4 linked regions of the Neodiprion lecontei genome follow. The protein of the gene in region 4 purifies or fractionates together with the protein of the main gene of each other region. This does not show direct contact. Links are inferred from orthologs where the notes say so. Each region holds a gene or a part of one and is shown on either strand. Other genes may lie near its edges. The genes, in order: cell division cycle protein 27 homolog, anaphase-promoting complex subunit 2, anaphase-promoting complex subunit 7 and anaphase-promoting complex subunit 15.

Region 1 (8,903 bases), on a different chromosome or scaffold from region 4:
TTAATATATAATTATCTTGCACAAGTTACATACTTTATAACAAACGGTACGAGATATATGTCAATTTATCACGCAACATGCACGTTTACTCGACTCATTTACAAGTCACGATGCACCGCATCGTGGCTCAGTGTACAGCACTAAACGTGCCAACTTCTCGAATTTAATGATTATTACCATTAAAATCTAATTAATTTTATTTAATATAATAATAATGATGTATTCTCGATTCGACTCAAGGGAATACGTATTGTACGACAACTACCGACAGTTTCTGCTGCGTTTAATTACTTTCTACATATATAAATATCGTTCATTATTTTTATATCCATCTAATTTTTAAGCGGCTTAGGTATGTAGCTGCCAATCATAATTATTTTTATTATTATTATATTATTCTTCACAGAATAGAGTATTGGAGCTTACTACGCGCATATCGATATATGTATGCATACTGATCGGCATTTTCATCTTTTGAATTGAATAATATAGACTACATAGAAGTTGACGCTTAGTACACATTATTACATTACTTATAAAATGTTATAAATATAGTTATTATCAGTATTCTAGCGATAGAGATTTGGAACAGCCTGCGGCAACTGGTGGTGGTAAAAGTCGCTTTCATCTTACCCGATAACTAACGAAAACATTAAAAACAGGTGTTTATCGGTATTATATTGCACTCTCTAATATTTCCTGGACACTGATTGAATCACTCGGGAGTTATTATGTGCTCATACGCATAGAAACAGGTCCAAACCCAAAACGTTATATTTACTGGCGTGACGAAGCGAGAAGTAAGGAGCAGCTTTCGATAATATTTTTACATGGGAAAAAAGTATAGTGACGTAACTTTTTTATCCCTTGATTACACTGTTAACCGAACGTATCTTCAGCTGATAATAATAATAATTGATAAATTCATACGACGTCTTACACTGGAATCACACAATATACTTATAATCTATTCGACAATAATGTACATAGATACATGATAGAAGCCTAATCATATTTTCAATTGCGGAGAGAAGCGAATTAATGAGAAAAAATAATCATCAGGCAGAAATACACCTAGGGCACTTCGGCCGTGGTTTACTGCGGAAATCATGATTATATTTGTTGTATATTTTTGCTTGATCATAGAAACTGAGAATATAAAAGTGAAAGCATCTCATGTACAATAGTTGAAATGTTATTTTTTGAATTTCAGCAAAAGTAGTTGTTATGTACAATTTTCTTGAAGAATAATACGGACTTTATCAGCCGCGGTATTACAAATGTGACGAATAGCATTGTTGGATAGTAGTAAATAGAAAATCCATGTGCTAAAAATTGTGTAAGAATTACTGTACGGAATCTTCTTGTATCTTCAACAATCTTAGTTATCGCGCGCGATGCGTAGAAAAATGAGAATGGTAAATATTGTCAAGGAAAAATAATAAGTCACGTAAGTTATAAACTAATATTTCATTCCATTATTTCAGATTAAGTTTTTCCTCGTTTTCTATAGCTGTCTATTCCAAATGGGCACTTGCGCACTAGCTATTACATTATTAGGTGAGGGCTGTTTATAACAAAGTATACAGGTATTTTGGCCAGCAGTAACGGTAGCGGTACGCCAGATCAAGACACTCATAAGCTGTTATCACTATCGTCGATCTGAGGGTCAATCGTAACATTTGCTGATTGATCAACTTCCCCGCTTGCCTCTCCCTCTTGTTCCGTCGAACTGTTTTGTGCCTGTCTTTCAGCTGAAAATAGATGAACCCGGAATTTTATATGACATCCAGCAAGTGCAGCCTTCAACCAATTTTGGGAATTATTCTGATTCATCTCACCTAATTGTGTAGTAGGGTCATCGTCACCTTGGCCAGGACTCAGTATGGCCTCTTTTATTTGACTGTTGACACCTTTGGGATCTAAATCTGTGGCCCAACTAAAGTACATAAGCGCGAGGTGCGTATTTCCTAACTGTTTATGCACCTGTTGCAAGGAAATAAGATTTTTCGAATGTAAAAAAAAGCAAGTGAAAATCAGCCCAATATTTTTAGAAATTAAAAATGAGTACTAGTGAATATATTTTACCTTTCCTATCGAATAGTAGACTAGAGATTCTTTGGGTACAATATTCTTCAGTTCTTCAAACTCTTTTAATGCTTCAGCAGGTCGACCTGTAGAGAAATTAATGCTTGCTCGATGAAATTTGCAAAGCGTGTTGTCAGGGTCGTTTTGGATCGCCTGATTCAATGTTTTCAATGCAAGATCAGTCTTTTTCAAAGCATGTTGTACAACCCCTATGTGACACATGATTGCCGAATTTTGTGGATTAATCTGCAACGCCCGTTTAAAATGTAGTTCGGCTAAACTGTACTGCTCCTGTTTAGAGAATATCGTTCCAAGTCCAAACCTGATGATAAAAATTTCAAATCCAATTAACTGTGTATTCAATAATAAGTTGTTCTACAAAACAACCAACGTTTATAATTCCATTGTGAGAATATAAATATAGAGGTGAGAAAAATTCCAGTGGGAGAAATTTCAACAAAAACGGTATCGTATCGCTAAGGATTAACGAGGAACTTACCACGCGTTATAATGCCTCGGGTCAAGTCGAATAGCATTTCTAAATGCTGTGATTGCTTTGTCTAATTCTTCTGTCATAACATATTCGTGACCCAGAAGTGTGTACGCGTATGGGAAGTTGGGATCTACCTATAATCGAAAATAAAATATGTGTTAAGCTATTGTCTAAACTATTCTATGTAAAGAGTGCTAAAAATAAAAAAAAAAACGGAATCGAATAGCAAAGGACCGTTCTTTTTTCTGCTTCTCCTCGGAGACAGCGAAAGACTGGAAGATTGGACGCAATACCTGTATGGCTCTTTGAAAGAACTTAATCGCTGTTTCATGTTCTGTTTGGGCCGAAAATAGGTTTCCAGTAGCACACCAAGCTGTTGGAGAATATCGGTCTTCCGAGACGAGCTCCTGTGCCAGGGTGGACAACTGAACTTCGGCATGAAGATGCCATAGTACAGTACTATAAATTTCCATCATCTCTGTTCTCTGCGGCTCCAGTTGTCTAACTTGTGCGAAATAACTACAGCAGAAAAGCATCAAAAGTTACATTAGCTATTTTTTACATTTGATGAGGAAGCAAATTCGGTTCTGTTTATTGAATGACAGTTTTTTTTTTTTCGAAATTTTGTTCAACGTAACAAGAAATTTGCTGTACCTCGCAGCTTTTTTGTAATCTATCATCTCGAAGTGCGCTTTTGCAAGCATCGAGAGGACCCAGCCTGTATTATAATGCTGCGCAGGTAAAACACTGAATAGTTCAATAGCTTGTGAACAATTGAATTGACTCAAATGTTGATACGCTGTGCCCAGGACCCTCAACAGTGTCATAAGTCCCTCTAAAAAATAAACGTTTGAACTGATTGATGACGTGAAATTTAATTACGAGAAACAATATTTTATAAGAAAGTTTGCCAAACATGTAATTGGGTACTTGACTCACCGGCGCACTGTTTTTGAACGAGTAAAGCGCAGTGCATCATGTTATTTTGGTTTAGTGTGTTAGTGGACGATATCACTCTGTCCGAAGTGATCGTTTCACTTTTTTCCTTTTCATTTCTATTTCTCTCATTCAGTTCGTTGAAGTTTGCCTTATTTAAATTAGTCTTTGATAGTCTTGCTTTGGGTTTCCGAGAGGGTGATTTTGGTGGGGCGAATTTATTCCTATTTGGCGATTTATTATTCTCCTATAAAAAATTTGAAAAAAAGAATTAATCAAAGTACAAATTGAGGATCACAGATTTTCAGAGAATTATTTGAGATTCTAAAACCGAATCTAATGCGTTCAATCAATTCATCAGAAATACCTTGACAGAATAACTGTTACTAAAAAGTCTGGAAGATCGCCTAACGTTGGGTCCCTGAAGAGCTTGTGGAGTCGGGACTGGAGCCGTTGGTGTGACCGTAACAATGTTTGCTGTATTACTCGTGTTTCCAGATTGAGAAAACACTGGTTTACCTTGCTGCAAAGGCGTTTCTTTCCGAGACATTAGTTGCTGCAGAATTTAATAAATAATTACCTTTAGATCGATACATGAGGAAAAAAAACAAAAAAACTGAACCACTTATTTGCCAAACTTCACTCACTCCGACATGCGCTTTTAAACTGCTGACTCGCTTGGCCAAACTTTTCTGATCGTTTGCTTCGGAGAGCGTTGCATGAGGCGGTCCAATTTGTTCCGGTGTATTAGTTTCCAATGGGAGAATTCCAAAGCTCGGTGTCAAAGGGCTCATGGAGTTACTAAACATGCTACGATAGCGAGGCATTTTTCCCCTAGGCGATGCCGCAGAACAATTTAGTATTTGGGATGGAAAACCTGCTGGACTTTCATCAGACGTAGCGAACAACTTTACACCAGAATTAATACCATTCCCGACATTATTCTGGGCAGGAGTGCTGCCAAAGAGTAAGAAACTTTACGTTAGTCAGAATCTCAGGTGCAGATGTGTAAAAAATCATTACATCACACGAAAGTTCAACTCACATGTTATTAGGAATTGGTGTGACTGGGTTATTTGCAACCGGAGTAATGAGATCTGGTTCATTGGCATAATTAAGTATCGGGGTAGTACCGTGGCAAGTGGCAAAACTGTCTAGTTTGTCAAGTTGGAAAGTCTTGGCAGGATCAACCTTTTCCCCAACGTTACAGAGTTCCTCAAAAGAGTGCCACAAGAATGGGTTCAACTTTAATGCTAATTTATGCGCCTCACTTCCCTTCGCTGTTCGCATCATTCTATAATAAATCTTGGCTATTATCTGTAACGAGAAGCAAGCCTGGTCTCCAAACTGTGTCACTATCTCATCTAAATTCTTCAACTGCTTATAGTATCCACCGATTATCGCTGCTTCGGCCTCCGCATATCTACATGATAGAAAAAACAAAGATTGATCTTATACATTCTCCAAGTACAGAATCATGCAATTTCCAGCTGTGGATCTAAAGGTTTGAAGATCAAGGTCCCATGATTTCACGGTACAAAGTTTCTGGACAATTCAATACACAACAGTGGATAATAATTTGCTACAAACTAAGTAAAACGGGGTTTAAGATTACTAACTTCTCCAGGTCATAGCAGCACTTTGCTAAGAGAAATCTGCACTGTGAAGAACTCGGCGCCTTTTTGGTGAGCAGAGCGTGAGCCTGTCTAACACGTCCTGAACGGTAATAACACGTTGCCAATAAAAATAATGCATCTTCTGTGTCGACTAGAATGGAAGGCTAGCGTCAGTATTTTATAAAGTAGTAACTACTTAGGGAAGCAATTCATTTCATTGAAACTGTATTGACTGAAAATTTTGAATATATAGATATAATAGTTTCTGAACCACTGTATACATTAAATAGATAAAATAGATTTCTTTTTGTATGAGGTAAAAATTAATTAGCACAAGGCTTTATGACTTTGGCAAAGACTATTTAGGTGACATTGAAAAGTTAACGATTTCAAACGGTGAATATATTTGGATGGTTATGTATTACTTACGTTCGGCCCACAGTCTTTCCGCCAAGAATATTGCATCTCGATAAGCATAGTGATTTAAACAGTGCCATATGGCAGCCTAAAAAGCGTTATAAATCGTGTAAACAATTGATATTCTCGTATGTTTTGTTGATTGATAAACGGAAGGAGTAAGACATGCAGATCTCAAGGCAAACTAACTAATTTCTATAAGATTATTACTTTGACGAGAACAAAGTGTCGCTGCGTTATCCTGCAGTCACGATATCTGCAAACGTTGACGCTTCATTTTGAAAAAATAAATCTAAGAAGTAATAAAGTCGTGCGTGCCACTGGGATGTCAAAATTACAACCAAAGAAATAATCGTTGAAACACGTTGGACACCGTATATTAATTAAATGATAATTTTACCTGCACTGGTTCCTGTACAATCATCGTTTACACCTTTACCACGCATATAAATATGAATTTCAATTGATTCGTTTCAATTTGAAATCTGAAAATTGTGCACTTCCTCGGCAAATTCGTATAAAAATTTCTCAAGACTCCATATTTGCTTTTGCCAGCTTTCTTGGACTCATCTGAAGTTGCCTCTATATCGCAGTGCCTGTCACCCGATCCAATGCTTCAAACAGTCCAAAAGTCACTAGTAGCCGATAAAAATCTCTATATCTCTAAGAAGGAAGATACCGCGCCTATACCGGGTAATTTTGAATACCTCGAAATACGCTATAATTTCGTGCAAAAACCATGAATCTTTTTAAACATCATTCACACTTGGATTGATTTCTGTTCAATATCAACGAAATGGCCGAACGATAAAGCCGTACTTGAACCTAAATTAGCCGGTCAAAAATACAGCGATGTGAAGATAGATGCCAGCTGATTAATGAGCAAGCCGGTTGCCACTCTACGTGTCGTATCAAGTCCCAGTTGTCAATAGGGGAAGAGGTAATATTTGTCATCGGAGTTCTGTCAGTGGATCGAGCTTGGTGATTCTCGAAGAATAGATAATAAAAACTTTCCATAATGGGCGATGGAAAACAGGGCGAACGCCAGCCCTTGTTAAAAAATGACAATATATCCTACACCAGTGTTTCGACGGATATAACAGGTTCGTATTAATGCGTTACACATAGCAGTCGCATTATTTAGTCAAGTTGAACCTCTCAACTCAGAAGAACAAAGTCTGTAATATCGAACTATAAATTACTAGTTTTCTACCTTCACTCTTCTTTTCAATCTCTGTATCTGATAGCTGCCGCTGAATCCACAGTCAATACAGTATGTCCGATCGGTCCAGACGAGTTACCGCCACCCTACCAGTCCACTCAGCAGGGTGGAATCCCTATGGTCACATGCAGAGTTTGCCAAGCTATGATAGACATATCCGGCAAGCGGGATCAACATGTTGTTAAATGCTGCCAGTGTAACGAAGCTACAGTCAGTTTTACCACATTTTATTACTATTTCCACTATTTTTTTTTATCAACATCGGTTTACTAATATTATTTAGCACCTTTCGACGAACGTAAAAGACTTCGTTTCCATATTAAATTAATAATGCCTCACCACATAGAATGTTGCATATCGAGAAAAACTATTTCATATTGTGAGATTAAGGACTTCAAATCCTTACAGAGTAAACAGTCACTTATGTCCATAGAAATATCAAATGGTATTAAAAAATATTTTGTATATTCTTACAGTCATTTCAAATTCTAAACGATAAGACATCAGTCTTTTTTGCAAGCTTGCAAAATCTAATTCTAACAAGGAACGATTCAATTCAACTCGGCGAATGTACAATTATTTTCAACAATTTGTTTGAACTTATTTCAAGTATCTAAAATCTTGAGTATTACCAGTATTCGATCCTTTACTTTAGGATACGATACTAATATGATAGTCACGATTGATGACGTTCCTTTCAGCCGATAAGAAATGCTCCACCAGGAAAGAAGTACGTCCGTTGTCCTTGCAACTGCTTACTTATATGCAAGAGTTCTTCACAGCGAATTGCTTGTCCAAGACCAAATTGCAAGCGCATAATAAATTTAGCGCCTTCGCCAGTAACTCCGCCCGTTCTCTCTATGCCTGGAATGTGTAGAGTTGGATGCGGACATTGCCATGACACGTTTCTGGTAGGTCACTGGATGCATCATAAGACACAAATGCATCCAGTGTAACTCGTTGAAACTAAATATAATCGAGTTTTTGAGTCTGAATGTATTTAGTGCTTAACATAAATTATTATCGGCTAATTAAAAATTGTTGTGTATTACAGTTTAACACTTTAAATAACGCTCTTGCTCGATGCCCGCATTGTCGCAAAGTATCATCCGTAGGACCAGAGTTTGCACGAGGTCGTGGAATCGCATTTATTTTAATCGGATGTGTGGCTCTAGTCGTGGGAATTGCTGTTACAGTAAGTACACACAGTCATACACGTATCTGTAGATACGTAGATATAGGTGAAATAATGTTCCGTAAAATAATTAACTTTAAACGTTAATTCTATCACAGAATTTTACTTACCCTGTTCCACTTGATACCAAGTTTTCATTCTCAGTGGAGTTGTTCATTAAATACTGCAACTGTGACTCATTGTTCCCAAGTGTGTAATCGCATCGATAAACCGCCATACTCTTCTTCTTTTTACATCACTTATTGTATATCCTATCTAATCTTAACGACCTAATGCAAATTACTGTTTACAGTTTAATGATATTTAATTATATAATATTCCGTTTCTGGTGTACATAAAACGTACACACAATTTGAAGATATTGGAAAATTCCAAGTACATAATGAAGAACCAAGACTGCCTATACAATGTTCGATTGATATTCAATAACAAGGCTTACACAACTACATAATTCTCAACTATAATTCTACCAACTTCTTACACCACACATAATAATTCACCTGTTAATAATTGGGAGACGCTTTAACTCGAGCAATTTTATCCTATTCTGCAAGTGTTTTGAAATTGTTTAAATTTTACATCTTCTCTTATTACAGCTCGGCACGTATACACTTGTAAGAACAAATGGCGGTATATATGTCGCTTATGTCGGTGAGTGTTAAATTATTGGAGTATACAATTTATTCATTGGTTACCTAAATATCATCTCCATGGCAAACAGATTAAACGAAAATATTTATAGACAACCCAATGGGAATTGGACACAAATTCTTACATAACAGACTGTCAATATGAACAACCGATCCTCTATAGCCAACGTATTTCTCTGAATCTAAATATAGCTGTTAGAAATCCTAAGTGAAAAGTTATGCACACATCACATATTCACGTTCCAAATATTTGGAAGAGTTTCATAAAACAGTTAATTAGATCCCT
Region 2 (7,871 bases), on a different chromosome or scaffold from region 4:
TTATATATGTCAGGAATCATAAGGATAAAAAATTGGAAATTACCTTGGCACTTCAATTGGTGCAAAACCATCGATTGGATTTTGGTCAAGAAATCCAGCTCTTTCCAAAAACAGTGGCTTACGATCATCTTTGTGTTTCACAAAGTTGTGCAATGCAACTATAGCGAATATACTGCCAATAAAATTTATTACCCATAAAGCGCCACCTTTCACGCTTAAAATCATCATGGCAAAAGGAACAACAGGCACCAGCGATGTTCCATAGATTTCGGAAGCATTGGACTATAAAAAATTTTAAATTAGTACATTTAGTGTGGATCCTGAACCTTAACACAACATTCGACGTCATTTGAATAAGCATGCAACAATACTTACAATAAGATCGGTGAAATCAAATCCGAAGTAGACAGCTAATACGAGATCCATCGTACAATTTCCAAGTGTTAGTATAATCCAACATGGGAGGAAGTAATGCAGAATTTTTTTTCTGTACACACATCCTACGCAAAATTATAAACTCATGTTCTAAGCTAGGGTCACAATAATTCGGTAACTGGAGTACACAATGCATGTATGTCGCAATTTCGTAAAAAGTTAATATTCCAGTACATACCGCTCATTATCAGTGTACTAAAGATGATCCAGAGTCCAGAAACTCCAACGTAAACTGCCATCCAAATAAACAGCCATTCTGGTGTGACAAGGTTTAAAAAGTAATCGTCTGAAAGTACCGTAGTGTTGTAGACCTGACATTCTGCCCCTGTAATGAGAAATGTTGGTGTTATTATACTTTGCATACTTCAGTGAAGTACCAATGATTTTTAATCAGCAATTGTAGAATTACCTTGAAAGTATAGTCCTACTACAAGCGGTACAAAAGTGCTGAAAGTTTCATCGGAATCCACTGTGATTACACAAAGATGTACCAGAACACCCAATAGAGTGAGTATACAGAGTATCAATCCTTGTACCTAAGCCATAAATTTTTACACATGCACAGAGTTTAATATAAAAGAGTTCAAAAATTGATTAACACATATCGGTACAATAATGTGAAGCACGTTTACGAATCCATTTTTTTCACATCATCTGAAAGTTCGTGCGGTTTAATTTCGTTCATAAGTTTGATAGCGCTTATTGTTTTAGAATATATTATGAAATACAGTATAATTAGACTCTTACCAATCCCAATGTGCCTAAACAAAGGCACAAAGGTCGAACAAGTGACGAGACCGCCATTTGGCAATCGACTCTCTATCTGCTGAATTTGCCTCCTGTTAATTGTAATACGTTTTACGCCTTTTGATATGCGGGAATACTGCAAATATCTAATCAATGCTCAATAAATGATCTCACATCAAGACACCCACCCACTCACACTGACTGACGCTGATATCATGGTATCTGGATTTTTCTGATAAAACTCAGTTATTGTGTTTCAATACGATATTTATCTCTTAGAGGTTTCATACTTTACCTACTGAATTTCATACTACGATTTCATACTACGATTACGAACATCTCTTTATGTGTAGAGTTGCAGCTTGATAAATCAGAAAGTTTGCAGTAAAAAATCAATATTAATGTAATACGACAGCTCATTTAAACTTTGATAACAGTTTACTCCTTACTTTCAACAATAAATTTCCAAAAAATAAGATGATTGTAAAATAGTTATCAAGAATTATTTTTACAATTATTCAATAAGCTTGAATTTTAAGCTGTACGAAAATAAGTAGGAAAAAACTTTGTCAAAAAATTACAATTTACTATTTGTAAGGTATATTTTCTATACAAAAACTAAACCAATAATTATTACACTTTGATGATGATAAAAAAATTGTCATAGTCGAATCAATATGATTTCTTTGGCTTACAAAAGGCCTACAATTATTTTATATTTTTAATTATTTTTCGGTCATCGTAAAGACAATCATTACGATTTAGGCAATTTATATAATCCACCAGAAAATAACAGCTGATGTTCTCTAACTTTTTTGTCCAAGAAATGTCTCAATTCTGGTAAACCACATTCCACAGCACCTGGCCCTTGTGAGGCAAACATTTTCAACATTTGGTGTATTCGCTCCAAGGGCATAGAATCCAAATTCGTCAGCATTCCAACGATGTATGACCAAAATACTTGTAATTCCTCCTCCCTCTGATCACTAGCCGAAGCCATTGCACTTTCTACTTCCTCTTCTTCAACAATTTCAGCTGTCGACCGATTTTTAGTTGCACTTTCTTCTTGTAGTAAAAACTTATCGCTTGAGATCTCTTTCAAAACTCCTTGGGATACCCAGAACGTTATTTTACGACGGAGTACAGTTGCTGGGACGTGCATTGCTTCACTCAGTTCGTCGATCGTCCATTCATCTTGAGATACAAATATTAACATGGTTAATAAGTAATAAGATCTTCACCGTATTTACAAACGTGCTTTAGTACTCACTTTTATTTTGAAAGTGTATAATGATTGTAGCGTGGATAGGTGTGACATTCATGTTCAATTTCCTGTCTTTCAATTCTATTTCCAGGTTTACATTTCCTAAATGAGGCTTCCAGCATAGCGTTCTGTTCCCTTTAAGAGCTTCAAATGCTTTCATGTACTTAGCTAGCTGATCCTGAACAGCTTTTGGCAATTCTAATTTCCACTCTTCCTTGAAAGGCGGCCAAAATTGAGCCGATAGAATGAGCGCAGAGGTAGGGAAAAGGTGTGCTTCGACACAGTAACTGGAATCCGACTGTATATTCCCATCTATCCTTTTTGAGTCGTAAACGTCTTTGAGCATCACTTCACAATAGTGTAATTGATTTTCTCCAAAACGTCTTTTGAGCAATTCCAAATGACGAATTTCTCTTTCAGTATGATAATTTAGCTGTGAAAGTAGTCTATCTGCTAATAAAGTTCTATATTCATTAACGAACAGGTCTTGGCTTCCGTAAACATTAACCAGCATGGAAATTATATCCGATACTCGGCGTTGGGATGATTTGGCTGAAAATTAGGATCACACAAAGATCGGGTTACAAAAATATAAAACTTATGCAGCTTCTCATATTAAAATGCAAACCTAGCTTACAAGGATCTGCATCGACTGGATCTGGCATCCACTTTTCCCAGTCTTCGTCTTCCTCGTCGACTGAACTTTCTTCCAGCTGCAACGATTCGCCCTTCACCAATTCATCAGCTAAGTCGCTAGGGGAATCATCCAACAAACCACTAACCACGCATCTTACCGTGTCTTCTCTACTCCTCAGGTATTGCCTGGTTGTAAGTAAGAGATAAATTTGTTGTAATATACTGGAGATGTGGGTATTTAATCTGACCTGAGAGGGTAATAGAATATTAACTTACTTTACTGGTTGCGTAACAGTTTCCAAAAGAACGCCGGTTGGATCTAACTGTCTCAAAGCTTTTATGGCTGCTATGTACGCCGTTAAAATATCAGGGGTATTTACACCTGGATGTAGTAGCCTTGTTTTCAGAGCATCTTGTAAACTTTCAACCAACGTCTTGCGTAGATCTGTTCGTTCCAAACCAACTCGTAAGTCTTCTATTGCCGGCTGTGACTCAGGGTATTCTAAAATTTCGAAATATATTTACCTGGCTTGGAAATATCACGGTATTTGTGCAAGTAGATACTTAATCACGGTTATTGTTTCCTTACCTATAATGATGTTGAACAGCTGATCAATTCTCGTTCGCGTATATGTTTCGTAAAGGAAATGGGACAATTTGTATTTGAATTTATTAATTGTCTCGCGCGTTTTACTGCTCAAAGAAGGGGATTTTGAAGAGCCTCCAGAATATATTCTTGTTAGCCAGCTCATAACAACTGTTTCGAGCCACTGTGGAATACAAAGTATTGTTATTCTAGGCAATAGTGTTGTTTCGGTGAGCGAGTCGATGTTTCACAAAAATTTCAGACTCTTGTACACTTACGTTTTCCAAAAACGTTAATTGTGATACATCAAAACTGCTCTCACACGCTTTATTGACATGACTCTCAATGCGGATATTTATCAGCGAAGTCAAGACATTTCCAACTAATCGCTCGAGCAGTTCAAGCTCGATTAACTTCCGATTTGTTTCATGAAATATGTATACTATTGCTTGGCACTGACAGTCATCTATTTCCCGATTGCAACCTTTGCAGAGGCTGTGACTACCAATTGAATCATCTGCACGAAAAATAATTCTGTCATTAAGTGGATCCAAGGCGATGAGGAACAAGATAGGTTTACTCTTTTCAGTAGAAAAATTGGGGTGGAATAGATTGGAAGCTGATAAATAGCGCTGAAGCAAAGCGTTTTGAAGAATTTGAATATTGATTGAAACTATCGACTGAATCATTGTACGTTTACAAGTTGCAGACTGGTCTTGTAACTCATTAATACTAATTGGTGTGTAATCTGGAACTTAACACTGACTGATGATCGGAATTTGTTAAAATTAGATTTACTACAGCCAGTTGAATTAGAAATTTTCATACTTGTTATACCAAGTGATCGATTAATAGAGCAGAAATAGTGAAAAGAGCAATTACTTCTTTTTCCCTTAATTCAAACAACTCACCTTGCGGTGAGGTGTCAGTATTACAGAACACATTGAATGCAATTCTATAGAAGTGTTCTATGATTATTTCATGATTCAATGCAAGTTGACTCAATAACGTAGCTTTAACAATAAGTTTAAACTGTCCTAAAATATTGTTTTCCCCATAGAACGATCCATCAGACTCCTTGCTTTGTACAAGTTGTTCTAGTCGTTTTAACATCGGTAGAAACTCTATTAAGCTGGAATACAAGCCGTCAACGGCGTTTTTGAAGCATTCAAATCCATGTTGTTCATTTGTTGTACTGCTAAAATTACTCCAGAAGTCTGGAGCTACGTGTTGACGAATATAGTATTCTATACTTTGTATAACTATTTCCTCAATTCTTCCCAACAGTTTCAAATCATTTATTTGCTTGAGTATATCGGTAAACTGTTCGTCAGAACATTCGCTGAGTACCTGTATAATAATGGAATGACAGGTACGATTACTCTCCGATATGAAGATTTCAAACAAATAATGAGAACCTTGACAAAATTTAAAACTATCTTAATTCGATCCAATAATATATTTGTAATCCTCGTAATTAGCCGTAGATAACGATATTAGATGACAACAGTGTAAATGTTTGAGTTTGAAAATTCATAACGCAGATCGTAAACATAACCTTAACAAAATCGAAAACCGTGCCTAAAGATTGACGACTCTTTGATTAGACTAAATAACTAGTGATGATACACCAACGAAAAATAGAGGGATGAGTAATTGAAATACCTTCTGTCTGAGGATCGGAAAAGCATATTCGATTTTTAAGAGTACGTCCTGCTCAGACGCGGCATTTATTGCCGCCATATCCATATCTGCAGCAATGTTCATACAGTTTGGCAGGTGTTTAGTGATCCTAATGTCAATTCGACGTGCATTTTGTAAACAGCTGTTGCCTACTTCACTCGTGTGTGACCAAGTTTTTATTTCAACAACTTCAGTTTGACCTTATATATTATCTTACGGACATTTTCACGTTCATTTGTTGTGTTTTTCCACACATTCCAATATGGAGTGTCTCGTCGGTAAGTTGTTTCGAATCGAAAAGCATATTATTATAATAAATTTTGATAAAACTGCCTGATTCTTCTGAATTCTACCGAGAATCATTAGTTAAGACACAAGGTTAAATTATGCACCTATAAATGCGGGAAGACTCAACGTCAAGCAGTAATACGCGATGCAATAATAATGTTTACGGTTATTTTGTATTGTAGATAGACGTAATAGGTTATGCGATGTATTTTAACTCTGCTAAGCGGGGAATTCCGTACCGTTAAAAAAAAAAAAAAACAAAAAAACAAAAATGCTATTGTTCGAGTATGAGTATCGGAGGTTTTCTGATTCCGCTTGAACACGGATTGAACCGAGGAATAATATAGGTATAACGTCTCTTTACCATTCAACTGTGTAGATATCTGTTTTTTTCATCGTGATACTGATAGCAGTAACAAGTTTTGTTAAAATTTGAATTCATTTTTGTAGTAAATGCCATTTCATTACTTTAAAATCGTTAAATTTTTAGAGGAAAATTTATTCTCTTATTCCGTTCAGGAGTAATCCAAAAACGTATTCAGAAGGCAAGAAGTTTTATCACCTGTCGAATGTTAGCAATAATCTATGTAAGTTGGTTCAATTTGAATTGTGATCTTTTCATGAATTCGAATCCACTTGCAGAAAAATACATGAACTACAGAATAGTGATAAAAGTGTGCATCGAATATTTCCATAATTCTGTCTTACGTAAACAATTTGCCTTAGAAGAGAAATCGTTTTGTCAATTTAATTTATGATTAATTTCGTAGAACTGTCTCAGGGATAACTTCAGTCAGTGGAGTATGAATTAGTATATAGCACCACACTCGTAATATGAAATATATTTGCATGCCTACAAAAAAATAATGAATTAAGGATTGTTGAATAAAAGAAATTGTACCTTTTAATTCACATACTCATGGTAACTTGAATCTTCAGGCAATACCTCGGAAATGATGTTTCAAACCGCCGACGAAAGTAGCTACAAGTGTGATGAAAACAGGCAGTTGCACTGCCAGGAACTGATTGAGTTGAATGATCAAATTGCTCAAGATAATGTTGCAAGTCACATGAACGACTATGCAATTTTACCCGCAGTTAATTTGTGTCCGATATGGGGAATCAGCAATTTGGAAGTAGTTGAGACTGGGCAAAGTGGATTTGTAGAGGTAAGAATAGGACTGTTTGAAGAAACTTTGAAGTTACGCCGGAACTGTTAAGTCATGTTATTATCCATTTATATTCACAGGTTGGCAACGTTGCAACTAGTTCTGTTCCAACATCTACTGGTAGGCCGAGAAGAAAGCCGAGGCCGTATTCTCCCTCAGATCTGACTACAGGCAGTAAGAAACAGAGGCAGAAGCCCAAAGTAATTCGAGTACAGCGAAGTAAGTGAAAAATATCAAATGGGACAATGTCAGGAGCAGTTTTATTACAGTGTTCTAAGAAAAAATTTATACCATTCTCATGAATTTCTTGAACCTAATCTAATATTTGACTTTCATAAAAGCAACAAGCAACAAAAAAAATGAGGGGATCGTTGGGAAAAAGGAAACTGTAGAAAAATTGACCAAATCAAATAGAAAACTTTTTTGGGATAATATTCAATTTGAACAACGTATTAACTGTATTTATTGACTTGACTTGCCTTGACATTATAAACGGTCAAATTGAATCCGTTAGTTTCGCACTTTTGATTCTACAGAATTGAGACATTAAATTTTGAAGCAGGAAATAAGCATAAAAGAGCTGTCCAGTCCGTTTTCCCTTATAACTAATCAACTTGCATGTAACAGTATTGAATTAATTCGTTCATAACATTCTGATTTTGTAGTCAATTCGTCCAACGATGTTTACATCGACAAGAGAACTGGTCTACCATTTTCTTGCGACAAATGTGAATCACCGCATATTGTCGATCCGACACGATGCAGTCCTGGAAATCGGAAGCGGCCACCAATGCCCAGAAAGTATGTCGATCCCGTTAGTGGCAGGATTATGATGCTATGCAATGCTTGTGGAATTGCAGCCAAGACGAATCGTAAAGATCGACCAGCTAAGGTGATCCATGTACGTAATTAAATACACCAATTGCTTTTGTAACAGGCTTAATTCTGAAGTTTTGTCTTTCTGAATGATCGTTTGATACTCAATTTCTGTGTGCCTAAAGTACATCCCAGTTTTTGAAAAAGATTGAGATTTTATGGAAGAATAAAAATTTCCCAGATAAAT
Region 3 (6,977 bases), on a different chromosome or scaffold from region 4:
AGAGCCCACGGCGTTGGATACTACGAATTTTCCCAGGATGAAGAAATGCGAGCGAAGCAGCAAGCAAACTTGGATGCATTGAGAAAGGAAACCATACAAAAACAAAAGGAAATGCAAAATCTAAAGGAAATGAAAGACAAAATGGAACAGAACAGGCTAAAGGCGGCTAGAATACGACAGAGAATAAGGGCTGGACTGCCCCCTGAGCCCACGGACGAGGAACTCGTGAAAAATGATGAGGTGAATACAGACAAGATGGAAGTTAAAGCAGAAACTGAAGAGAAAGTCGAATCTGATGAGAGGAAAATAATTGAATATAGGAAAGAAAATTCACTTATCGAAATTGAGAACAAGATAAAAGCTTTTGGCGAACTGCTTGGTAAAAGAACACAGTGGTATGAGATGTCGCAAGAAGAATGGGTCTACAAGCGGAGAAAAGATAGAGATGAAGAATTTGCCCCCTTATACAATAATTTTAGAAGTTCCGGGTATTTAGAATCCAAGAATACCGATCAGGACAAGGATGAAAGCTCAGCATCGCTCGATGATAGCTTATCTGGTAAAAATGAGGAAACCTCCGAAAGTCCTGCTATTATCGAAGAATGTGGCACAAAGAAAACGGCCGATCAACTCGATGGCACGGATAATCAACAAAGTCATATTCCGCATTCTGAGACTTCTACAGAGTTATCACAGATTACCATGCCTAAGCAAGTGATTAGCAATGCTGACACAGAATCATCGGATAGTAGTGGTTCAGATGTAATCGGACCGATGCCACTATATACCGAATTACCCACACAGCATGTGAATTTTCAACAAACATTCGCTACCCTGCCAGAAAATATGAGAACAGAATTATCAGGCATTGATTTTTCGAAACCACCTCCAAATATGCAATTTGGCCTTACTTCAGATATTTTTAATACTGGTCCAGAACTGGTACCAACTTCAGTCCCACCCCCGAATCGCGATTGTTTACCTATGGAATATCATCTACCGGATTCTACATTGTTGAGCTCAATAACTGGCGTGGATTCAAGTAAACGATCAGCTGACACCAGCATGTCGGATAATATTGATAGTCAAGAACCACAGCATATCTTAAACGAAGACAAGATTACTGCTGGGCTTAAATATTTACGAGCAAATTTTGAAAAGCAAAAGCACAGCTGATCGACTAAAATATTTAAGAATATCAAGTCAACTAATTTTAGATAATAGACATGTTTTATGTCGAATGACATAGTTGTAAATATTTTTTCGATGCACACTTTCTTCATTAATTATTATTTACTTGTAAAATTGTTACTTATTTATACGAAAGATCTGAAATAATTTTGTTATGAAAGTTTCATTAGGCATACTGTGTGGGAAATACATAATTAACGATTCTATTTTTTGTACTTCTTACTCAATTACCTACATTACTAGTTCTTTACGAGTAGACTTTGGTTATTAAAATGTTTTCAATGGGAGACAGAAATTCTATATGGTAACCAAACTACGTACTCATATTTTTTAATTTATTCTTATTTGTGGTACACACAAAACTGAATAAATTTTTTGCTTATTCTGTACTAAGAAAACAACATCGAAAAATTAGCTAATAAAGTAAGAATTTCTCTTTCTATAAACATGATTGATGCGTTCTCATTAGAACATAAACATAGAGAAACATGGTGCTTCCCAGAATTGCGTAATTCTTTCTTGCATGATCGAAGTACTCATTTGTCAATTGTACTACATATAGGAGAAAGGAACTCGTCATTTTGTCTACTCCATAAACAGTTTCGTACATTTACAAAAAATGCACGCATTATTATGATTTAAAGAATATCGTCAGTCACAGTTGAAATTCAACAGTCTTTGCAGAAGTATGGAACAAAAATTTCCGAGGAGTACTGTGATGCGGGATGACAATTTCTCTGATAAAGAACTCATAATTTCATTGTTATATAATATCAGAGGAAAATCATTGCCGCAAAAATGAGAAATGCTCATTATTTTCAGTTACAAACTACTTTCAATCACTCTGGTTGTAAGTTACCCTATTGACTATTCGCTTCCAGATCCATGTCAGACCAAACTGCTTCTGTTTCACTTTCGTCAGCTCCCTCGTCATTGTCTGTATCTGGCAAACCATCTCCAACATCATAAGTTGTATCTGCATGTTCGTCACCTACAGTCATATAATAAGTCGATTCCAGTTTCGTTGAAGTACTGTCTAACCGATGCAGCCCTTCCAGAGCCCGTCGATTACATGGATCTAAACTGTAAACAAATGGGATAAAATGAATTGGTTAGTAACAGTACAGATAAAAATATCAGCACACTGTGAAACTAAAACTGCATCCCTACTTCAAGGCGATGGCGTAATGATCCAATGCTTTTTCTTGATTGTGAATTCTAGCCCACAAATCGCCAAGCATCTGATGAAATTTAGAGGTAGGTAATATTTCTACTTGTCTCTCAAGTAATTCAATAGCAGCTTCTAAGTTCATCTCCTGTTCGTATATTTCAGCCAACAAATAAACAGCCGGCAAAAATGACTCTTCTTGACTCAATGCTTTTTCCAACAAGTTTTTCGCTTTGCCAACTGATACAGGGTCCTTCATCAAAACCGACGAATAAAGCTGCAACATAATATTTTTACATAAGTCATCGTGTCAAATCTCAAAAACTGTTGTTTAAACATACAGTTTAGTATTTTACTAATGGCGTACCGTCAGAGCCCGAGGCGTGTGTCCCAGTAATTTACAACCTGTACTGGCGATATTCAATGCTTCCCTAAGTCTATGCATTCCAACATAACAATCAACGAGTCCTTTGTGTGGTTCGTATCTATGTGGTTTGAGTAGAGCAGCTTTCCTAAAATGGTGCAATGCCTCTTGATATTTTTTTTGGTCGATAAGAATATTTCCCCATAATATAATTGCTTCGATACTATAGGGGCTCAGGTTTATCGCTTGTACAATCAGGGTACTTGCTCTACTGAATTTTCGCGCAGCGTACAAAGCATAAGCCATAGCTATATACTGTTCAGCTGTGTATTCGGAAGTCTGTGTTATAGCTGGGATTAATTTCTCAAGCTCCTTGGTGTTTTGCGTCTTGTACAACACAGCGGCATATATGTCAAGGCTAAAAAAGTAACAAAATAAAACAGATCAGGCTTATCATTGAACACATATCATTTGAATCCAGAAACGAATTTTTACAAACCCTTTCGTCAAATCAGGTTCTATAGTTCTGGCCCGTCGCAAACACGTCAAGGCATTTTTATCGTCACCAGCAAAATAGTAACATTCACCCATTGTTATTAACAAGGTAACATTGTCTCTAAAGTAATTGGCATTATCGAGTGACCTGAATGCTGTGATTGCATGACTGTATTCACGATTGTGAATATGTGCGTGTCCTTTGATCCAGATGTTCAACCACTCCAGACTTGGTGAATTGGTTATAGAGTTAACAATCATGGAATTTACTTCGATCCCTTTTACACCCAGAGCAAGGAGTCCTTCCACTGCGTTAAGAGCCAATGGACATTCTCGTAAAACTTCCTTGTATGTCGTAATTGCTGATCTTTCCATTCCTTGTTCTTGGAACATTTTTGCCAGAGCCATATTCACCTAAAAATTTATTTTCCGAACATAAATAATAGATGGCAAAAAAGTTTTCTACTTTCAAGGATGAAGAAGTTCTTACTTTTGCGGATCTTTGCTTGCCAGGTATTCCCTGAAGAACTTGTAAGGCTTCTTGGGTATTTTTGAGCTTGACCAAGCACAAATGTATTTGATATTTAATGTCTATGTCCGACATGAGTTCTTTCTGTCCATCAGGCGGCGGTTTAGTAGCACCTTTAGATTTCAAAAGGCATTTACGAAACTGCAAGGACTTCTTGTACAGCGATTCAGCCTTCCGGTACTTGGAAAGATGAAAGTACGAATCAGCACAATGGACATACGTTAAGAATTTTGCCTGCGGTGGAAGAAGCTCGCTGTTGTGATCGCTTAGCGATAAAATGAAATTTGCCTAGAAATAGAAGAGCTGAACGTTATCCTCATGCATTTCTCTTACACTGGCAAATTCTTTCTCGCCATCAATTTTCTGCATTATAGGTTAGTTTCAACAAATCAACATTAAGTCACAGCTCGTACTCACTAGAGCGATCACATTTGAATACAGCTCTTGATCGTACAACATTTTTATCTGCTCGTATAAACTCGACATTTTTACAGATCTATATAAATACTACTTTGACAGCGGACGGCTTGTGTCCTCTTATTCACCCACCCACATTTACAAATTCATATACTTATGCACGCCTAAAGCACCCGTCAAACATTGGCGACATCTGTTGACTAGCGCGAGATTTGAATGGCTGGTTTCTTCGACAAATCTAATTCTAGCTTGATTCTAGCATTTTAATGTTGGAAATGCAATAAACGCCGTTAATATCGTTCATCAAAACTTCTTACAAACTTATGACGTTGGCTGTTGACAAAAACAATAAAAGCACATCCAGCAGTTAGTATATAAAATATGTCACATCTTTTTACATAAAACCTAAATACTGTGCGGCTAAACTCGTTGGGCTATAGATTATTTACAAGTTTATTGTACGCTCTGTAATGATCGATAAAACTTTTATATCGTGACCTTCACGAGTAACATTGCCCTACATTCCTGCTCGATCCATAAGAAATTACTCTGCGACGGGTCACATACTGTACTTAAACTATAACTCAAGTTTTCACATCCGGTAGTATTATTTTAATAATATGGTTTATTGCGTACGCTGAATATACGGGAATGTTATACATATTTTGCGCAACTGCCGAAATCAGATATTATATACATATGTATCTATAGCAGATGACATCGCTGATACAGACTGAATCAGGTGTTCTCACAATCAGACAGACATAGGTGAACAATGTGAACATAGATCCCCGCAGCATATCATTCATATATCCGTATATCATTACTGATTAGATAAGCGTTAATTTTCATGTACGATGAGTCGTTGCACCTCGGGTAATTTTTAAAAAATACGTACATTACAAAGTATAGCGTACCAAACAATTTACAATTTTACTGCAACGGACGAATGGAATCAAATAAAATATCTTACCACTTGTAAATAATAGTAATTGAATCGTGTATCGGTAATCCGCACGCGGCATTTTTCAAACCATAATGAAAATTGTGATAGAAAAAAAAAAAAGACTCCAATCTTATCGCAATCCTATGTGCATGATATTTGTATGTCGCGATATATGGCTTATTGGGTCATAATGAGATGTCTTTCCCATACCTAGATGGCGATAAAAAATAGTACGGTGATTGGTGTGCAGAGTGGATGCCATGAATTTCACAGCACAATCAAGGACACGTAGTGCGTTATCCTTTCACTTTCAAGGAAGCCGAGATTTGGCATAGTTTCAGTCTACCGCAGGCAACGAGCGGTGTAACAGGTGGGCTTAATTACTTTTTACATAAAGCTCCTCCGGATTATGTTCGAGTCTCGAATAAATACGAAGTGTTATTCTCTTACTAAAATCCGCTATAATCTTATAAATTGAAAATTATCAACACCGCATGCGTCACTTCGTGTCTCAAGTAAACGAAAACCATAGGGAAAGTAAGTTGGAATATGTGCATACATAAATCGTGATATAATTATATCGAACGACTAATGGATATAAGTGTATGTATTTGTTTTTTTTTTCTTTTGTTATTCGGCCAATAAAATATTCAATAGAATATATTATTCCATGGCAAGTAAACCGAATTTCCAGTATCGTTGCGAATGTCATTTGTAAATAAAGGATTATATCAGAATCACGCCGATGTAGATCAAGCTGATCACCTTGCCATAATAATAATATAATATACGAATACCACGAATACTTTCACGGGAAAAGCTCTGACCTCTGAATATCTTTCGAAATTATTCCGATATTGAATTAATAGATGAAGGACACGTTTCGAGTGATAAGAAAACGAAAAATTTCTACTTTTCACGTATTGCAAAGAACACTGTAACATAACAATTGGGCCTTTTAAGCGGTCGAATGCTCACATATGCGGGTTGAATAACATTTTTTCACGTTCATTTGAAAAGGTGCCAAGATTAACTGGAACATAGTATGAGTGTGTCTGACGTAAATTAGCTTTCTTAAGAAGCAAGGTAGACTTTTGGGCGTTGTCGGTGCAAGATTGACATCTTTTCTTGTCTCACATCTCTCATACACCGTCTAAATATTGCAACATGCGTATGTAATACGGATGTGGTGGAGATCTAGCTTCCGGAAAACATATTATTAAATAGACTGTAAATTTACCACAAAACCGTTTCACAGCAACAACGATGTATAGTTGATTAGAAAAAAAAATGTATAATAACAAGATAACGTAAAAATTCGCTTCCGTCCTGGTTGTATGCCATAAACAAGCTAAACCGACTAATATACAGAAACTTACGTACGATACAATGATAATAATTTCCATTCCGTAAATCATCATATCTCCGCGGTATCCTATTTATTTATATGTGAATATATTTGAAATAACCATAGCTAACACATACACTGTACTTTTCTAGCGCATGTCATAGCCGGACGCCGGCAAACAACAAAAATAAACGCAGTAAAACACAATAAATAATATCTGCGACGGAAGATGGGTGGAAGGAGTGGAAAAAGCTTTTCACCAAACAAGGCAAAACGTAGTGGGGAAACATCGCCACCAAAGAAAGGTAGGGCATTGCGTATAAAAGCTGTTGGATTAATATCCAGCAAAGCTGTAACGCTTTGTAATATTTATTATCAACAGCGCGTTGACCGCGGTATATTGATTTGATTTGAGTCTCCGTCTGCCGGTCATCGGCCTTGCGAACCACGCGTGTATTTCTCGCCGCTTCTTTATACACATCATTTTACTAGAAGTACAATTAAAATTGTTAGCTGGTC
Region 4 (5,479 bases):
CAATCATGGCGGCAACAACTCGCGTATTTTCGTCCCGGGACTGGCATGAAGGCCGAGGAGATTCATACCTTGGTCGATGAATGCCTCCGTTGATTGCATGAAGCCGGAGCCGTAGTTCACCTCGTGACATGTGATCAGGGTCCCTCGGACCAAAAATTGTTCAATTCTTGTTTAAAAGTGTCAGAGGAGAGTCCGCGCTGTATGAGCGGTGAACGAAACTACTTTGCTTCATTCGACTTTCCTCATTTGATAAAACGTCTTTTGAGCACGTTGCGAACACACCAAATACTGTACTGGAGGGGTCAGATTATCGCTTTCTACAAAGATTTTGTAAAAACTTGGAGATACGATAACTGCAGTACTACCTCGAATCTACTTTCTCACATCTCCGAGGCGCACTTGTTTCCATCGTCCTTCCAGGCGATGAACGTTGAGCGTGCTTTTCAAATTTTGAGCCGCCGACTTGCAGCGGCAATAACAATTGCAGGCAAGGATCCGCACGGGCTCAACACGGAAACGTGACAGGCTAGCGCAGCTTTTGCTGAGCGTATGAATAAAGTCATCGATTCGTGCAATGCCTACGAGCTTTTGAGCCGAAATCTGGATAAGCGCCCGCTTGCCGACAAGAAACCTGAGATCGAGGAAACGCTTACAGAGTTCGTGAAGTTGTCTTCGGAATGGACAATTGCTGACCCAAGGAGAAAGGGGACGGCTGAAAATACTTCGCGAGCTATTCTGCTAACGTATCCGACGATAAAAGAGAAGTATCCCCGATTCGAGTTGGCAGCCGGACTATGCAACCAAGATTCCGTCGAACACCTCTTCTCGAAATTTCGCCAGCGAGGTGGTCACAACCCAAATCCCACGGCTCGGACGGTTCGCTTGTCTCTGAGACACATCCTTTCTACCGGATACATCGGCAGCGGCAGCAGAGGAAATGTACAATGTCCTGACGCCGTTGCTTTAATAGAACCCTGCACGATGGTAGCTCGGGCTTTCGATACGCCAGAGAGTATGCCTGCGGATCCCACCGAACACGAATTCGACGAGGATACGGCAGAAGTAGAAAATGACCACGCGTATATTGAACAAGTGTAGTATATTTTTATCGTTGCGGATTGATGTGATAATCCCCTCAAATTGTATAGATTAAAAAATTAATATAAATGATAAATTAGTTTATTGTCATTAGTTGTTGCATGAAAAAAAATATGGTTATTAGTAAAACTTTGACTAGTTTACTTGTTAATTTGGCAACGTCAAGTTGTCAGCTGTCAAGTGCATAACCTCATCTCGAGACCGGAAGTCTCTATTTCTAACAACTACAACAGAAGTCTAACATTTTTATAACATTCATAACAAGAATAATGTTCATCGGATACGTAGGTGATTTCACTTTTTTCCCAGCATTTACGACCTCTTCAATTGTTTTTCGAAAGTCACGGTCCATTTGCTGCCATGAAAAAGTCTAATTTTGAATAATTATTTTCTTGTTTAAATGTTCGGGAACCCGCCTGATCTTTTTGTACAGCCGTTTTTGAATATTTTCCGAAAAATCAGATTTTTCTACAGGTTTTGAAATACTGTGCATGATCTCATTAAACAATGATTGGATTCAAGATTTTCGGTGGGGAAACGGCTGAATGGAGGTAATATTAATAAACAGCTGAAAGAGAGTTTTTATACAATCGATCCGGTCTCCAATTTTTTGTTAGGTAGATTTTTTCTTCTCCGGGTTACCAAATAAAGAAACGAAAAAAAAAATAGAAAAATGGACAAAATCTACACACTCTCAGAATTGTTTTTTTTCATTCCTTTTTTCTCTTCTCGGTTATCAAAAATACAAAAAGAAAGCCGGGATTGGATTAAAAAAAAAAAAATTAAGAAAAATAAAATAAAATAAAAAAATGAAAAGTGAACTGCGATCAAACCCGTGTCCCGCATCACTCCATCCTCATGTGGTATCCACTCAGCCACGCTACAGCTACTTCCATGATCGCGCGTTAGCTCGGAATATTTACGGAGCTTGCTTGGAATTCGCTGATGATTTTCTGGAAGATTCAGTTCGAGAGAAAAAAAATTTCCCCCAACCACCTGCGTATTGCACATTTTGCATAAATGCTATCGAGCTGACTTCGTAATATTTTTACATAGACTGCGTGTACAAATATTCGAGACCACCAGGCGTCACATATTTTCATATCAATAAAAAAATAAAATTTATTAAAAAAAAAAAAAAAAGTTTCCGGGCTGGGAATGGTTAATTATTTTGGTTCAGCGTCTGCTAATTGAATCCAAAATTTATCAAATCTGGAGATACTTTTATTCGCTGACATTCATAATTGAATCAAGAAAAATCCCAATTCTTGCATTCCTGGAAACATCTGTGTGAGCGGGGACAAGGATGCGATTGGCAACCACTTGCTCGATCGACCGAGTATATCATATATATACGATTGTCGGCCACCTTCGGTGCGTGGCCGCCTAGGTGTCACGTCGACGTTCCAACCTAGCTGGTATCACGAAAAGCCGAGCGTTGGAGATCTCCCTACTCATCTCTGCCGTGACCGACTTCGACGAGCGGTTCGCGGCCTCGTTCATTCCGTAAAATCGAGTGTTTTCGAACGCCTGCGTATGTCGATTCGACTGCTTAATCTGGTCTCCGAATAGTTCGTGGAGCGTCGTGAAGATAGTTGACAGCTCGGCAATAGGAAACGTCAAAAAATTCACATGCAGTTTTTTGAGGTTATAATATCAAACGTAATCAGTAACTGTCGCGTTGTGGAGATCGACTGGCCTGTTCACGGTTCCTTCAAGTTTTCGAAATATGTCATTCATGCCACTCTGGCCTGATTTACAACCCCGAGCTATTGATCCTCTGTGGTTCGACGCAGACAAGCCGTGCGACGACGAGAGCGAGGTTATTGCATTAGAAACTGAGCATCAATCATGGGTAATTACGTTGTCATGTAATAAAAACTCGTCACATGGCCTAGACCATCTGCAGGACATATTACAAAATGTAGTGTTTACTTTTAGATGGACAGCATACAGGCCGAACGCTGGAATCAAATTCCAATTGGAAAGTCAGCAAGTGATGTATGTAATTAAACGTAACATAATCTGTTTGTAATCACTACGTTTATCGCAAATTTTCATTTGCGGTGTTAGTAGTCAGGAAAGAAGACAATGCTGCAAAACTGAACTGTTTTCTGTTCTAGTTCCGTGGATCCGAAGGCGAAGAAGAAGAGGAAGAAGAAGACGAGGGTGAAGGAGAAGAGGAGGAGGAGTCCGACACCCATGAGGAGGAAGAAGAAGAACTGGACGAGATCGACATGGAAGTCAGCTACTCCCATCAACAGCCGCGAGCCAGTCCTGGGCCCAGTCCTGATACCCAGCAAAACCCGGTTTCCATCAGAATGGTCAACGCGCGCACCCTCCATTACACCTAGAATCTGATTGTGTGACAATAAATTAAGATGTTAAGAAACGTTTAGCTGTACAATTAACCGTAAGAAAGAATAAAATTACATTTGTGTTGCATCTTCTGTGTCATTTAGAGTTTGAATAGTTCCAAAGACTCGTTCAAATTTGTCCTAATTCTATCCCAAAATTCTTACAGGTCTCTACTTTACCGGCACAGTAAGAGTTTCGCTGTTTTCGACAATACCACCCGTATTCCGTACGCATGCACGAGTCTGTAAACTTGCCGCAGAGATCGAACGTATAGATACCGAGCGAACGGCTGCGACGAGTCGGTGGGTAAAAGCGCCGTTTTGACCGCGGAACAGCAGAGCACAACACAACACCACAATGGTGAGTGTTAAAACAGTTATTCGAGCACCTCCGATTACGTAACTGCTGCTCTAACGGACGCAGGTCACGACCCCATTGACCCAGTGCTGGCCAACTAGTAGTACCGAGGAAAATCTCTTTTATCTTTAAGAATACAAGAGAGGCTGGCAAAAAATTACAAAAATTAAACAAGCGAAAGTATGTAAAGATTCGGCTGCTTTTATAGGTATAGTCTGCAATTTATTTTTATTATCTTGATCTGTTTCTCGCACAAACAATCACATTCCCTACGGCTGCATCGAGATGGTGGGAGGAAGGGGAGGCTGGAAACTTCCTCGTGGTAAACTTTCTCCGCGAGTAAAAGATAATCGGGCTTTCATCGTTCCTCGACTTTCGACGGTATGTAATACCTATAGTTGCCCGTAAAACGTTCCGATCGTTGATAAAGAAACGATGTGCATCAATTTCGACGCGTATAATATATGTATACGCGTGTGTAGGCAATGCAAATTCACTTGCGCGTATAACAATTGTCGTTCGTTATCGTATACTTTGGCGCACACCCTGTAGAGAAACGTACGGCTGGGTATGCCGAGTGTACGTAGGTATGGAGAGGAGTTTATATAGAGGTATGCATGTACCTCTGCGAGGTAGTAAGCGAAGTAAAGCTAAAGCCAGGTTGGTGCCCCCGCCAGGGTGAACGAACGCCAAGACACAACCGGCGCGAGTAACCGCCTAACACAGCGAAAAGCCGACGCAACTGCAGCCGACGGACTCCTCAAAGGAACGTGCGGATCTCGCGATCAAGCCGAACTCTCTTCGCGCTCTCTTCGTGAAAATTTTGAAGTTTTTATTTTTCATCCGAAAATCAGCCTCGAAACTGCCGCCAATGCTCCGAAGGGCCGCGAAGCAGCTTCAGCCCGCAGTTGTTACTGTAAATACGAACGAGGGTCGCGAGCTTGCAGGGGAAAATCATCCGCGGAACTTGAGTACTTCTAGGATTACCCAAACCCCGAGCAAGGGATGTTTACGAAATCATATATCCACACGGTCTATGGGCCTCGTTGGCTCGATGTACACAGGCGCAGTAAAGATCTATTAATATCGTAAACGACCTAGGATGCAGTTAAAAGAATATTTGACGTGTACGAATAAATAACGGGAGAAATGGATGAAAAAACACCAGTTCTGAGCGCGAACCCTCTCTCGATGATCTATTCTGTCATATGTCTCGTGCGGTTTATCCCTGCGTTCGTTCATTCAGTACAGTGAGAAAATTCAGGCAACGAAGAATTGAAACTCGGCATTCCGTCGATGACCATCCAATTATCAATTTCAAAATCTAAAACAATTGGTTCAAATATTGCTGGATGGATGCGGCTTGCGGTATGGGTAAAAAACGAAAAGCAGGTTTCTACTTTAGAACAGAAGTGTTATTAGGCGGTGAGATAAAGAAAGGAATCGCATGAATGCGAAGTTATCTTCTAGGCATCATCTTTGCGATCTTCGTGCCTTGGATAAACTTCGGTACTACCGGTTCAATGTGGTCGTCAAAAAAAAAAAACAGATACACGTTTTACGTCAATTCTGCAGTGATACGGAATCTCCCCGTGGACGTTAGTCAAGAAACAAAAAAAAGCGGCAGTTGTTCTCTGCGTGAAGTTTAGTGTGTACACATGCATTT

What was found.
Region 1: the proteins of anaphase-promoting complex subunit 15 (region 4) and cell division cycle protein 27 homolog purify together in Homo sapiens (affinity purification with mass spectrometry; 3 studies listed by BioGRID and IntAct, with this or other methods). This does not show direct contact. The link is inferred for Neodiprion lecontei from reciprocal best matches to the Homo sapiens genes ANAPC15 and CDC27.
Region 2: the proteins of anaphase-promoting complex subunit 15 (region 4) and anaphase-promoting complex subunit 2 purify together in Homo sapiens (affinity purification with mass spectrometry; 4 studies listed by BioGRID and IntAct, with this or other methods). This does not show direct contact. The link is inferred for Neodiprion lecontei from reciprocal best matches to the Homo sapiens genes ANAPC15 and ANAPC2.
Region 3: the proteins of anaphase-promoting complex subunit 15 (region 4) and anaphase-promoting complex subunit 7 purify together in Homo sapiens (affinity purification with mass spectrometry; 3 studies listed by BioGRID and IntAct, with this or other methods). This does not show direct contact. The link is inferred for Neodiprion lecontei from reciprocal best matches to the Homo sapiens genes ANAPC15 and ANAPC7.

Annotation. Positions count from the first base shown.
Region 1 is NC_060266.1:21,418,370-21,427,272, reverse strand, and holds cell division cycle protein 27 homolog, read right to left. Parts: upstream 6,111-8,903; 5' UTR 5,997-6,110; coding exon of another isoform or gene 5,975-5,996; coding exon 5,951-5,974; intron 5,639-5,950; coding exon 5,563-5,638; intron 5,285-5,562; coding exon 5,137-5,284; intron 4,941-5,136; coding exon 4,563-4,940; intron 4,475-4,562; coding exon 4,165-4,474; intron 4,074-4,164; coding exon 3,885-4,073; intron 3,765-3,884; coding exon 3,521-3,764; intron 3,417-3,520; coding exon 3,236-3,416; intron 3,101-3,235; coding exon 2,875-3,100; intron 2,716-2,874; coding exon 2,588-2,715; intron 2,411-2,587; coding exon 2,089-2,410; intron 1,987-2,088; coding exon 1,842-1,986; intron 1,755-1,841; coding exon 1,636-1,754; 3' UTR 1,456-1,635; downstream 1-1,455. Other genes in the region: type 1 phosphatidylinositol 4,5-bisphosphate 4-phosphatase, read left to right, coding at 6,569-6,653, 6,798-6,982, 7,474-7,683, 7,827-7,967, 8,564-8,618. UniProt on the Homo sapiens protein: Component of the anaphase promoting complex/cyclosome (APC/C), a cell cycle-regulated E3 ubiquitin ligase that controls progression through mitosis and the G1 phase of the cell cycle.
Region 2 is NC_060261.1:6,128,566-6,136,436, forward strand, and holds anaphase-promoting complex subunit 2, read right to left. Parts: upstream 5,457-7,871; 5' UTR 5,436-5,456; coding exon 5,334-5,435; intron 5,019-5,333; coding exon 4,580-5,018; intron 4,359-4,579; exon of another isoform or gene 4,316-4,358; intron 4,186-4,315; coding exon 3,947-4,185; intron 3,853-3,946; coding exon 3,672-3,852; intron 3,585-3,671; coding exon 3,359-3,584; intron 3,269-3,358; coding exon 3,084-3,268; intron 2,999-3,083; coding exon 2,453-2,998; intron 2,377-2,452; coding exon 1,937-2,376; 3' UTR 1,770-1,936; downstream 1-1,769. Other genes in the region: uncharacterized protein LOC107222521, read right to left, coding at 44-282, 376-500, 614-760, 845-971, 1,183-1,239; uncharacterized protein LOC107222515, read left to right, coding at 5,614-5,629, 6,579-6,808, 6,889-7,027, 7,474-7,709. UniProt on the Homo sapiens protein: Together with the RING-H2 protein ANAPC11, constitutes the catalytic component of the anaphase promoting complex/cyclosome (APC/C), a cell cycle-regulated E3 ubiquitin ligase that controls progression through mitosis and the G1 phase of the cell cycle.
Region 3 is NC_060262.1:35,032,221-35,039,197, reverse strand, and holds anaphase-promoting complex subunit 7, read right to left. Parts: upstream 4,308-6,977; 5' UTR 4,234-4,307; coding exon 4,165-4,233; intron 4,036-4,164; coding exon 3,709-4,035; intron 3,633-3,708; coding exon 3,223-3,632; intron 3,142-3,222; coding exon 2,727-3,141; intron 2,637-2,726; coding exon 2,362-2,636; intron 2,275-2,361; coding exon 2,052-2,274; 3' UTR 1,510-2,051; downstream 1-1,509. Other genes in the region: coiled-coil domain-containing protein 174, read left to right, coding at 1-1,176. UniProt on the Homo sapiens protein: Component of the anaphase promoting complex/cyclosome (APC/C), a cell cycle-regulated E3 ubiquitin ligase that controls progression through mitosis and the G1 phase of the cell cycle.
Region 4 is NC_060263.1:15,453,469-15,458,947, forward strand, and holds anaphase-promoting complex subunit 15, read left to right. Parts: upstream 1-2,541; 5' UTR 2,542-2,827; coding exon 2,828-2,953; intron 2,954-3,039; coding exon 3,040-3,099; intron 3,100-3,221; coding exon 3,222-3,452; 3' UTR 3,453-3,543; downstream 3,544-5,479. UniProt on the Homo sapiens protein: Component of the anaphase promoting complex/cyclosome (APC/C), a cell cycle-regulated E3 ubiquitin ligase that controls progression through mitosis and the G1 phase of the cell cycle.